3 linked regions of the Canis lupus familiaris genome follow. The protein of the gene in region 2 interacts with the protein of the main gene of each other region in a biochemical or structural test. Links are inferred from orthologs where the notes say so. Each region holds a gene or a part of one and is shown on either strand. Other genes may lie near its edges.

The links.
Region 1: the proteins of EPS15 (region 2) and TFAP2A form a complex in vitro, tested with the Homo sapiens proteins (2 studies listed by BioGRID). The link is inferred for Canis lupus familiaris from reciprocal best matches to the Homo sapiens genes EPS15 and TFAP2A.
Region 3: the proteins of EPS15 (region 2) and NUMB form a complex in vitro, tested with the Homo sapiens proteins (2 studies listed by BioGRID and IntAct, with this or other methods). The link is inferred for Canis lupus familiaris from reciprocal best matches to the Homo sapiens genes EPS15 and NUMB.

What each region holds. Positions count from the first base shown.
Region 1 is NC_049256.1:11,474,204-11,477,946, reverse strand, and holds the start of TFAP2A (transcription factor AP-2-alpha), read left to right. Parts: upstream 1-938; 5' UTR 939-1,151; coding exon 1,152-1,202; exon of another isoform or gene 1,203-1,364; intron 1,365-2,246; exon of another isoform or gene 2,247-2,603; intron 2,604-3,743.
Region 2 is NC_049236.1:9,793,694-9,797,436, reverse strand, and holds the start of EPS15 (epidermal growth factor receptor substrate 15), read right to left. Parts: upstream 2,443-3,743; 5' UTR 2,307-2,442; coding exon 2,274-2,306; intron 1-2,273. UniProt on the Homo sapiens protein: Involved in cell growth regulation. May be involved in the regulation of mitogenic signals and control of cell proliferation. Involved in the internalization of ligand-inducible receptors of the receptor tyrosine kinase (RTK) type, in particular EGFR.
Region 3 is NC_049229.1:47,084,175-47,087,917, forward strand, and holds the start of NUMB (protein numb homolog), read right to left. Parts: upstream 2,207-3,743; 5' UTR 2,093-2,206; intron 1,928-2,092; exon of another isoform or gene 1,783-1,927; intron 1-1,782. UniProt on the Homo sapiens protein: Regulates clathrin-mediated receptor endocytosis. Plays a role in the process of neurogenesis.

The DNA of each region.
Region 1 (3,743 bases), on a different chromosome or scaffold from region 2:
GCACACATGTCGGTTACTTCGGCACAACTCCAGGAGCGGCTGTGAGTCTCCACAGGAGTTCTGTATTTTGTCCACATCGCACCTAGGAAACCCTTAGCCCAAACACCACGTTGAATTATCAGTCAGCCCTGGCTTCATACAAACGAGAGGAAAATCACTTAACCCCTGGAGCTGTCAACTAACCTCTTTAGGGTACAATTTTTATTTTACACGCGGCCAATTAAAGGATCGCAAACCCCAGCCGAGCGACTGGAGCCGTTTGGCAAAATCTTCAACCTGGGAGGGGGGGTGGATTGGGGTGGGGGGGGTGGGAAGAGCAAAGCCAATAAAACTCCCAAGGCGCTGGGGCCCGAGGTGGTGGCTGCAGCGAGCGGAGGCGATCTCTTGTTGGGCAAAAATCCTGGAGTGACTTTGCCGGTCTCGGTTTGATGATTATATTTAATTGCGAAAGGGATAATAATTTCTAATAAAATTGGACGGGGCCGAAAGGACAGCGCGGTTAGCGCGGGCAGGGGTGAGGGAGAGGTGCTGAAAGGCGGGCCCCAGGCGCAGCGGCGCGGACCCTGCACAGCGCCGGGCCCTTGCGGATGGCATCTCCCTGGAGGAGGAGACGGAGGGGGAGAGGACTGGGGTGGAATGGCGCGGCGGCGGGGACCGGGGGTGGCCGGGGCCCGGGCGCACGGCAGGTCTCAGGGGAGATTTCGTCGGCTCGCAGGCGGGCGTGCGCTCTAGGAGCAAGTTCGCGGCTCGGAGAGGCCTTTATACCTGGGTCGGAGCGGCCGGCCGCAGACTGCAGGTGCTGGCGAGCAATTGGACTATTGTTGATATGCTAATGAGGCGATTAGGCTGTTGGTAAAGAGCTGGAAAAGGGAAAAGTTTCTACCATTAGAGGGAGATCTCCGAGCGCACACAGGAGCTCTTTCCCTTCTCGCCTCCTCCTCCTCACCCTCCTCCTCCTCGCCCTCCTCCTCCTCCTCCTCCTCTTTGCCCTCCTCCTCCTCCTCCTCGCCCTCCTCCTCCTCCTCCTCCTCCTCGCCCTCCTCCTCCTCCTCCTGCGCTCACCGCCGGCAGCCCGCACTTTGCGCTTACCCAGAGAGTAGCTCCACTTGGGTGCGAGGCGGAGAAGGGGGCAAATCCGTTCACGCCGATCCATGAAAATGCTTTGGAAACTGACGGATAATATCAAGTACGAGGACTGCGAGGTAAGCGCGGCGCTGGCTCTCCCTGCGGCCGCAGGCTCCGAGCTCTGCTTTCCCGCTCCTCCTCCTCCTCCGCTCGCAGCCAGCTGCGAAATGCGGGTGGGACAAACTTTCCCCAGCGCAGCGCCCGCCTCTCCAATTTGCCCGAAGAACGCAGGGGAGAAGCTGGAGAGGAAGGATGTGGACGCTGTCTTCTTTCATTTCTCTCCTTCGAAGCTCGTGTCCCACTACCCCCCCCCTTTTTTTTTCTGGCCAGTTTGGGGGTCTGCCTAAGAGTGAAGCGAAGACACGAGCATGGGGTTTGGAAGCAGTTGCTGGCAATTGGGCACGCGTCTGTGCACCCTGCGTGTCTCTCCAGCGAGATTGGGGGGGGGGGGCGAATCACCAGGAAGAGAAAGCAAAGAGAAGACCCCCTTTTTTTCCTCCGTAACTTCCGATCTTTACTATTCCTTCATTTATTCATTCTTTGCTTCCTATCGTCCCCCTCCCCTCTTCCTAAAAAGGGAGGCTCTTTTCCGTTTGGAGAAGGGCCCCCCCTCGCACACTTCAGTCTGAGCTGGGTCGCACCTCCCAGTGTTCGGGTTCAGTTTGGAGGCACCCCTCTCCCAAATTGCTGCGGGGCTCGCTCTGTGCTACTGAGGAAGTTCTGAGCAGCGTCTCCCTCTGAGGGACACTCCGAGAGCATCCCCTGGAGCGGAGGTGGGAGGGCTGCACCGCGTGGAGCCGCCTGCCCGCCGGGTCCCCGGGCTTCAGCCCCTGCAGGCGCCCGGCGGTCGGCTGCGTGACCGTGGGAATCCTGGCCGGGCGGCACACGACCTCGGGCGCGCGGATGGAGCGCGCCTCGTTGGAGCCCATTTGCAAACCCGGGGTCTCCGGAGCCCGGCTTCTCGGGGGCACGCCGGGGAAGCCCCAGCACCGCCGGCCCGCCCGCGGGAGGCGCTGGGAGCCGGCCTGGCCGCCGCGGCCCCGGGCTCCCTCGCAGCCCCCGCTGAAATGAGCCGCGGAGTCACGAGAGGGGGAGGGGGCCCGCGGCCGAGGGTTACCTACATAGGTGGTAGTCCCGGCTTTCGCTATTTTTTTTTTCTTTTTCCGTTCTTTTCTTTGAATTTGGCCTTTGGAGCTGGCAATGTGTGGAGCAGAGGTCTGCGCGGGCGCAGCAGCGTGGGTCTTGTCTTCACTTGAAATCAGAACCGGGGTTTGTGCGAACGCTGTGTCCCCGGTTCCCTGCCCCCTCTCCTCTCCGCCGACTATTTTAAATCTTTCTCCTTTCCCGGGCTCTTCCTTTCCGCCCTCCCCTCACCCCAAGGGGCACGGGGTGACACCCCGCGGGGACCGACGCTGCCCTGGGGGCTCCTCCCGCGTGCGCGGTGCGGGGCGCAGGGACCCCAGGGCGCACCAGCCGCTTTGTTTTGAGGCCCGTGGCGGGGGCGAGGGGTGGGGGGTGGGGGGTGGGGTGGGAGGGCTCTGCGAACGGGTCCGAGGGAGCTCCTCCGTCTCGGAGGGCGCACTGTCCCCGCCGGCGCTGTGGCCCGAGGCTCGGGCACGTCACCCTCGCGGAGGCTGGAACCCAGCTGCGGGCGCCGAGCCCTGGGCGGGCGGGGTCCCGACCTCCGCGCGGCTCGGGGCGCCTGGGAGACCTAGGTGGGAGGTGAGGAACTCGAGGGGCCCTGTGGGGGCGCGTGTGAATGTGTGTGTAAGCGAGGCGGAGAGAGGGAACAGAGGGAGGGCTGTTTCAACAACTTTGCGGCGGCGAGCGCCGGAGCAGGGATTTCGGGTTTCCGAGCCGGCTCGGGGCTGTCTAATTACGCCGGGGCTCTGCAGGGACACGCAGGAGGCGAGGTGCCGCGTGTCCTGACAACCCAGCAGGCGGACCGGCAGCGGCGGAGCCCAGCGGCGCAGGGAGAGAGCGAGCCGTGTCACGGGGGTGGGGGGGTGGGGGGGCGTCGGGCAGGAGTGGCCCAGCCAGTCGGACGGGTTTGCGCCGGGAGCCGGGAGCCGGGAGCCGGGAGCCCGTGCCAGCGGCGCCCGGGCTGGGCCGCCGAGCGTCTCCGCGCGCCCCGGGCCGCGTCCCGGCTCCCCCTCCCCGAGCCCCTGCCCCCGAGAGCCCAGGGCGGGGCGGCAGCTGCCGCGGAGCGGACGGCCCGGGCGGTCCGGGGCTGGAGGGGGGCGGGGGGCACCGGGTCATGGAGCAGCGGCGCGGCGGCGGGCCGCCGAACCCCGAGCCCCAGGCCCGGCTGCGCAGCGCAGGAGCCCGCGGCCGCAGCGGGCAGGGCAGCACCGCCCGCGCCGAGAGCCCGATGAATGCCCGGACGCGGGCCCCGGCGGCTCCTGCGCGCGACGCGCGGCCCCCACGGCATCCCGAGGTCTGCCCCAGCCTTTTAGGTCTGATTGTCCTCGCTCGCTTCCTCTGCCCCTCCCCCGCGGCCTCCCCCTGCGTGCGCTCCGGCTCGGCCCCCTCCCCCTCCCTCCCTCCCTCCCTCCCTCTTTCCCTCCCTCCCTTCCTCCTCTCGGGCTCTCCCTCCTTCCCTCCCTCCCCTCTCCCCA
Region 2 (3,743 bases):
TCCCCCCAAACTGTCAGTTTTACTGAACTGATAAAGGCAAAAAAAACTATAAACAAGACAATCCTAGCATCGTGCCTAGCACATAATAGGTACTTAACAAATATTTGTTGAATGAAAGAACCTACTCCAAAACTTCATCATTATCCCATGACCAGAGGTAGAAACTCACTTCAGCATCTGTTTAATCTTTTAACTGTCACAGAGCCCTTTAAATTTTTCAGTCATTCAAAAGACAGTGTTTAATCACTTTCTTCCAGATGGGCACTGAGGAAGACAGATGAATTAAAATGTGTCCCTGCCCTGGAGGATTTCTCACTTGAGTATGCCTAAGTGTGTGTGTTTGGGGGTCGGGGGTGGAGTGTGACACAAATAGATCAATAATGAATGTGAAACCAAGTTGCATTGTTACCTTAGTTTATTTGTTTCCAGCAGTTAAAAAAAATAAAAAAAAAAATACACAAGTTTAAAAAGTTTTAAAATGACGAGGCGGCACGTTAGGGTATAGAAAGGTTTAGAAAGGTTCTTTTTCCTGTCCCTTTATATAGAACTTATTGCCTCTAATGTCTTAAAAATATTCTAAATTGGCTTAATTTGAATTATCAATATAAATGAACCATCAATGTACGTTCTCTATGTGAGACACTGAAGGAGAATACTCGTGATTCAGTACTTACTGTGTACATACATGTTCATATTTAAACACACAACCACAACAACCTATTTCAATTATGTAACTATCTATAAAACTGACAAGAGCCTAAAGAAAATGTCCAGAGATGAAGGATGATAAACAGAAATCAGAAACATTAGCCCGGGAGAGAGAATAAAGTACGCAAACAACTCAGAAACAAATCTACAGAAGACTTCAAGAGGGGGAAGCTCCTGCCCGACCCGGCCAGCGCGGCCAGAAAGCAAGGGCCTGCCAACAGCCATGAGACTCCTAAAAAGGGCGACCCAAGAGTCACTGCCGCCACCGCGCACACCTGAATCTCAGGAGGGCCCTTCCAAAGAGGTCCGCCACCAGCCCTCAACCCCACATTCCAAGGATTCTTCCCTGCTACCTGCTTGTCAAAAGAGGGTGAGCGACATCAAGAGAACAGGGAAACCACCAGACGTCACTTAGGAAACAGAATTCCTGCAAACTGAAGTGAGTTACTGGACCTGAGGCACGAGTCTGCGGGTGGCGGCGGGTTCCCCGGAGAGCGGGTGTCGCTCGGGCTCTCGAGTTCACGGCGCCGGGGCAAACACCCCAGAGCCTTCTGCTGCGGCGCGACGACGGCACCGGCCCACGAGAAGCGCGACGGATGTAGGCCAAGGGGACTACAAGGCGGCAGGAGGCAGCGGGCAGCGCGCGGGCTGTGGCAGGCGCTCCGGGCAGGGCGGACCCGCCGAGAAGTGGAAGGCCGGGAGGCTTGGGGTCGGGGCCGGACAAGCGCCGGCCACCTCGGCGGGAGAGCACCGGGGGAAGACCGCGGCCCGCCCTCTCTACGGGGACGGAGGAACGAGGCTCCCAGAGGGAAGCACCGGGCCTAGGCTCTGAGGAACGGGGGAGGCGAGGAAGGGGCCGACCATGGCCCCGCAGGAGGTCATCTCCGGCCGTCCAGCGCCGAGGCCGAGGCGGGCGGAGCCGTCACACCTGTTGATGAGGCGGCGGCTACGCGACGGCCCTCCCCGGCCCGAGGGGGCGGAAGACGACGGAAGCGGAGGTCCAGCCCAGGAGAGCGGGTCGAGGCTTGGCCGAACCCGGAGGGGGCCCAGGCTGGTGCCGAGGGGAGCGCGGGGCTCGACGGAAGCGGCAGACTGCGGCCCCCGTCGGGGGGGGGGGGGGGGGGGGAACGGCCCTGGGCTCCGCGTCGGGAAGGCGACTTTTAACTCGGGAAGCGCCGCGGAGCCCGGGGGCCGCCGCGCGGGGCGAGGCGGCCGGCGCCAGCGCCACGGGAGCCCACCTGGAGCGCTCCTGGCCTGGAAGGAGGAAACTTCTCGGCGGCCGAGGCGGAGCCGCGCGGGGCCACTGCCCACCCGGCACGGGCACGGGCGCCGCGGGCCGCGCGGGGAGCGGGAGCGGGAGCGGGGGCGGGGTCGTGGCGGGGCGGCGCGGCTGCGGGCTCGGACGGCCCCGCAGTACACGCACACTCAGCCTCGCGCCGCCGCTCGCCCCCGCCCGCCCCGGCGGCCGCCCCGCCCGCACCAGAGAAACTACCCGGCCGCCCGCCCGCAGCGCGGTGGGGGAGGGGCCGCCTGGGACAGCGGCCGAGCCGGGCGGGCGGTGTTACCTGTGTCAGGGAGAGCTGGGCCGCCGCAGCCATGGTGCTTCCATCATGCACGGGAGGGGAAGGAAGGACGGGCGGACTGGGGCTCGGGGCGGGAGGAGGCGGAGGGAGCGGGCAGAGGCGAGGCCCGGGCGGCCGGGCGGGCGGGCGTCTCCCCTGTAACTTCGACAACTTCCCTCCTCCCGCCCGCCCGCCCCGCCCCGCCCCGCCCCTCCCGGCCCCGCCCCACCCCGCCCGCCCGCCCGGCGCCAGCGCGGCGGCGCCCAAGTCCTGGCGCCGGATTTCGCGCTGCCGGACAGGAGCCTCCCCCCGGGGCCGCCCAAGAAAACCCGGCGCGGACAGAGAAGTAAGGCGGACGGGCTGCGTAGGCGGAAGAGACCGCAGACAGATTGCCCGGAAAGTTTAGGCAGATCGCCTACGTACTCTAAGCTGCTGCTTCTGAAAAATGGGGGAAATGCTACGCAAAGTCCAGGTTGCTTGTGAAAACGAAATGAGATCGTGATAGAAGTAGCAGTACTTCGTATATGCTAGACTCTGTGCTACACACTATTTTCCAGTTGTATGAGTGGGAGGAACTGAGACACAAATAAGTTATATAAATGAGGAAATAGAAACATAAACAGCTATTTTACCTAAAGTCATACAGCTGATTAGAAAGCCAGGTTAGAATCCAGATCTGCCTCCAAAACCTTTCATTTAACCATGTACGTGATATTGAAAAAGAAGACTTCTAGGTTCTTCCCTCCAGGAGCCAAAATCCAAGTGGGAGGGGCGATAAATAATGTCTTTGCCTGCTTGCTGCTTGCCACACTTACATGGTTTAATAAGAGAGCGCTGGGATCTGCTCAGGCACCTGCAGCACTCCTAATTCCTCCCATAGTCCACCTGGCAAACTTCCAGTTTCTAAAGACATGCTCAAGTATTTTCCCCTTTACAAAGCATCTCCTGATCTCCCCAAGTCAGAGTTACAACTCTTCTTTTTAAATTTCTTCCCTGCTTTATGAAGTCATTGTCACTCAAAGGACCCTTTACATCTGTCTACCCCTCGAGACTGAGAGCTGCTCCATGGCAAGGACTGCTTCTGATGTATTTCTGTATCCTCAAGACCCTAGCATATAGCAGGTACTCAATAAAAGGCGTTAGTTACAATTTGTGTTAAATATAGCGCATCCTACACTATCTCATACTGCCATCTTCAGTTAGAATATACAACAAGTTACTAGAAACCCTGATCTTTAAAGACTTGGCTTATATGCCATCTACTTTAAGAAGCCTTCTAGGAACTTCCATCCCACCTCTTAGTTGTTCTGATGTGGTCCTTCTTATATTCCGCCTGTTTTTAAGAGTTAATTAAGGACTTCTCTGTACCTACCACACTAAAATCCTTGAGGACAGGGGACTGATTCATGACTACATCCCACTCACAGTTTAGTCTACAGCAGAGTAGGCCTCAATAAATGTTTTTGCCTAGAA
Region 3 (3,743 bases), on a different chromosome or scaffold from region 2:
TGTAAGAAATACATTTTACATAGTGATCTAGTACACACACTTATGAGAAACATTTCCCAAACAATGCTTTTCCTTACCAAGTGCAATTCCATTCTATTTCATCCTATTTTCAATGTGGCAGTAACCCAGTAAATTGATTTTATAAATTACGAAAAAATCACGATCCACAATCTGAAAAACATAGGCTTCACAGTGGGTATGGGTATCCCTTATATTCGGATCATTTTTGCAATGTGCCTCTACTTGTCTCTAGCAGGGTAGACAGATATTTTAAGATTGCTACGTTATTATTGTTTTCATTGAAGCAAGTGGTTTTTAAAGTGTGAGCCTCTGACCAACATAAGCATCACCTGAGATAAATACAAATTCTCAGGATCCACCCCAGACTTACTGAATCAGAAACTCTGGATGCCGCCAGCAGTCTGTAGTTTACCAAGCCCTCCAGGTGATTGTGGTGCAAGCTGAAGTTTGAGAACCACGGCATAAAAGAACCCAGGTCTTTATGCTCTCTATTTAACAATGCAGTCAGTAAGCACAGTGCTCACTCTGTGCCAATCGCTATCCTAAAAGTTCTACAAATATTAACACACGTGGAAAAAAAACAACCCTACGAAATAGGGACTATTATTATACCTATTACACAGAGGAGGAAACTTGTACAGAGAGGTTAAATTGTCCAAGCTAAGTGGCGGAACCAGAATTCAAGTTTCTAATTTGGCCAGGGTACGTCCATCCTTTCATGACGTCCATCTTTTTGATCAAGTCCCCTGTCCTGCCTATTCCCTTAGTTTGAGCTACTTATCCCCCCTTTCTCTTTCAAACTCTCCATCCTGTCAATGTCCTCATTTTCTAATATCATTGGTGTCATCCTAAAAAAAAAAAAAAAAAAAATTTTCCCTAAAGCACTGGAATGCAAGAAGTTACTTAACCCAACTTTTGGGAGCTTTTTCTCTCACATCTTAGTTTTATGAAGGCGAGGTGCCTTCTATTTCTGCAGTCCTGAGAACACACTAACGGCCACACTGTTAGTTTCTCGTAGCCGCTGCTCCGGCCGGTCCCCACGAGACCACCACTCTCACCCTGAACAACTTTCTCACTCCCTCCTACTACGCCCTATATCTACTACGCGCTTCCTACGAGGAAACTGCTTCTCCCCGCCCACCCCTGTGTCATTTTGCTTGACTCCTCTCCAACTGAGACAACTTCCACTCCCCGGCAGACCCCTCACCCTAGTCTCCAATCCGACCTACTCCTCGAGGCTCCCCGGTGGCGCGCGGGTCCTCGGACCCAGGAGCTCCCGGTTCCAGTCTCGGGTCGCCCAGCCCAGCCCAGCGGTGGGGGCAGGGCGCTCCGCTCCACTCCAGCTGTCCAAGGTCTCCACAGGTCCCACCCTCCAGAAACCCGGAGCCCTCCACCTCGGACGGCCGCCTCTCTCAGGAGGGTCCCCGGCCCCACCCCCACCCCCACCCCCGGCCTCTCGCCTCTCGTCGACGCCCCCGCTCGCACTCGTCCCTCAGGGTCCTCCCGAACCCCGGCCGCCCTCGGTCTGACTCCCTTCTCCCTCGGACCCGGGCCACTCCCAGTTTCCCGGCCCCCCAGCTCTCTCCGCTCGGGCCGCTCTTGGGTTTCCCGGGTTTCTCTGCTCCCTGGCACCCAAGCTGCCCTGAGTGTGCATTCCCGGGCTCACCCGGTCTTCGGACCAGGTCGTGGCCGGTCACCCCGGGTCGCCCCCCGCCCCTCCCCCCCGGGACCCCGTCCGCTCCCGTCTCCCAAGGGGCTTACCGCTCCCACAGCGGCCGCCGGTCAGTGCCCCAGACCCAAGCAGCGGGACGTCCCGAGGGACCTGCCGGCCAGAACCGCTTGGGTCCGGCCCCAGCCTATCTTGCCAACGCGAACTCCGCCGCCGGGAACCGGGCCATTCTCCCACCAGCCCAGTCAGCGCGAACTCGCCGCCGCCGCCCTGGCCCCGGCCCGACCCGGCCCACAGTGCAGGCCCCCTTCCTCTCGGCCTCCGCCTCGGGAGCGCCGAACTGGAGTTTCCGGCCCGAGACGGCCCCCACCCAGACCTCAGGCCCGCGTTACCGGCACTCACCTGCCGCTGCCCCCCAACCAACTCCAGCGCCACTGCCTCTACCTCGGCCGCCAGTAGCCACCAAGCGCCACCACCTCCCCCATGACAACAGGCCCGCCCCGTTTCATACTTTCTGTCTCTCCATTGGATAGCGGGGCGGCGGCTTTCTGCTCTGATTGGCTCTTTCCAGCTGTCCGTCATAGCTTCCTCACCGCCCCTTTTCCTGAACCCGGTATTAGCCCCCGTCCGGACCCGGAGCGCCCAGTACCAAGGTTTAGTTGTTATTGGCTGATGGCTGGGCAGTTCGAAGTCATGATAGGCTGCCAAAAGTGTCTGTTAAGTCAACTGGCAAGGGATGCGATGGCTTTGGTTGGTTCAAGCTCGGGTACAGTTTGGTTGCGCAGTAGAAAGCAAGGAAGGGGCAGACGCTCACGGCCGAGGTTACCCGGGAAGGGTTAACTCTTTGTTGTAGAGTTCACTCTATGTACCCATCCCTTTCTCCAGTTCCCTCCCTGTAAGGAGAAATTGATCCCTGCTAGTTTATAGGGTAGTACTTAGAAAATACCAGCATCAGAGATTGTATTTAAGGAGTGTTTTCCAACTCCTTGGAGAAAAGCACTTGTACAGATAAAAATCTCTTCTCAAAGTCCCAATTTGCACCCAGTTTCCTTGAAGTTCTTTCCAGAAGTCTCCATGCTAAAGGGCAAAGCACGAACATTTATTTAGCAGGAATCAGACACTTCTGTGGCAATTGTAACGTCGTTAATAAACTGAAGTGGCATGTTGAGCGTTCTCTAGCTTCCAGACTCACCCCTGGCTGGCTCCTGCCAAGTGACCCAAGCAGCCATCAGCAAGTTTGAACTAAACCAGCCGCATTTAGCCTTGTGATGCTCTGGAAATGAGAATTTGGTTACCCCCACCTTCTCCCAACTTGATTTTTATGTTCAGCAGTTCTTAAATAGCCCTACTAGATGTGTGTCAGATACTTGAAAAGCTTGTCTTTTTTTTTTTTTTTTTTCTCCCAACCTCTCCTCTTCCTAGCAATCTAAATTAGGACCATTGAATGAATTGCAGCCCTTTTCTTACATTGGCACAATGCACAAGAATAAATGATTGCATTTTTTATTTATTTGGGTACAAGTCACAGTATGCATTTTTGAGAAATCTGGTGTAGCTATAAAAACTCTTGCGCTCCTAGAAATACATCCATCGTTAGATTTTGGTTTTCTTTTTCATTTCCACCCACTTTTCCTGTTCTTAAACAACAAAACGCTGGCCTGATTTGTCTTTAAATTTCTAAGTCACATTTATTTTTTTTAATGTGTCTGTATTTGGCTTTTATTTTTTTATTTTTTATTTTTATTATTTATTTATTCAGAGAGAGAGAGAGGGGCAGAGACACAGGCAGAGGAAGAAGCAGGCTCCATGCAGGGAGACTGATGTGGGACTTGATACCAGGTCTTCAGGATCATACCCTGGACCAAAGGTGGCACCAAACCACTGAACCACCGGGGCTGCCCCTCTAAGTCAGATTTAAATGTACCTTCCTCACAACTCTACCTATAATATACAAACCCGTGGACCATGAAACATACCCAGGGACGGACTGGGAAAAGTCAAAGAGGTACTCCCTCACAAGCATTACCTTATGGTTGGGAACCTCCTATGGAAC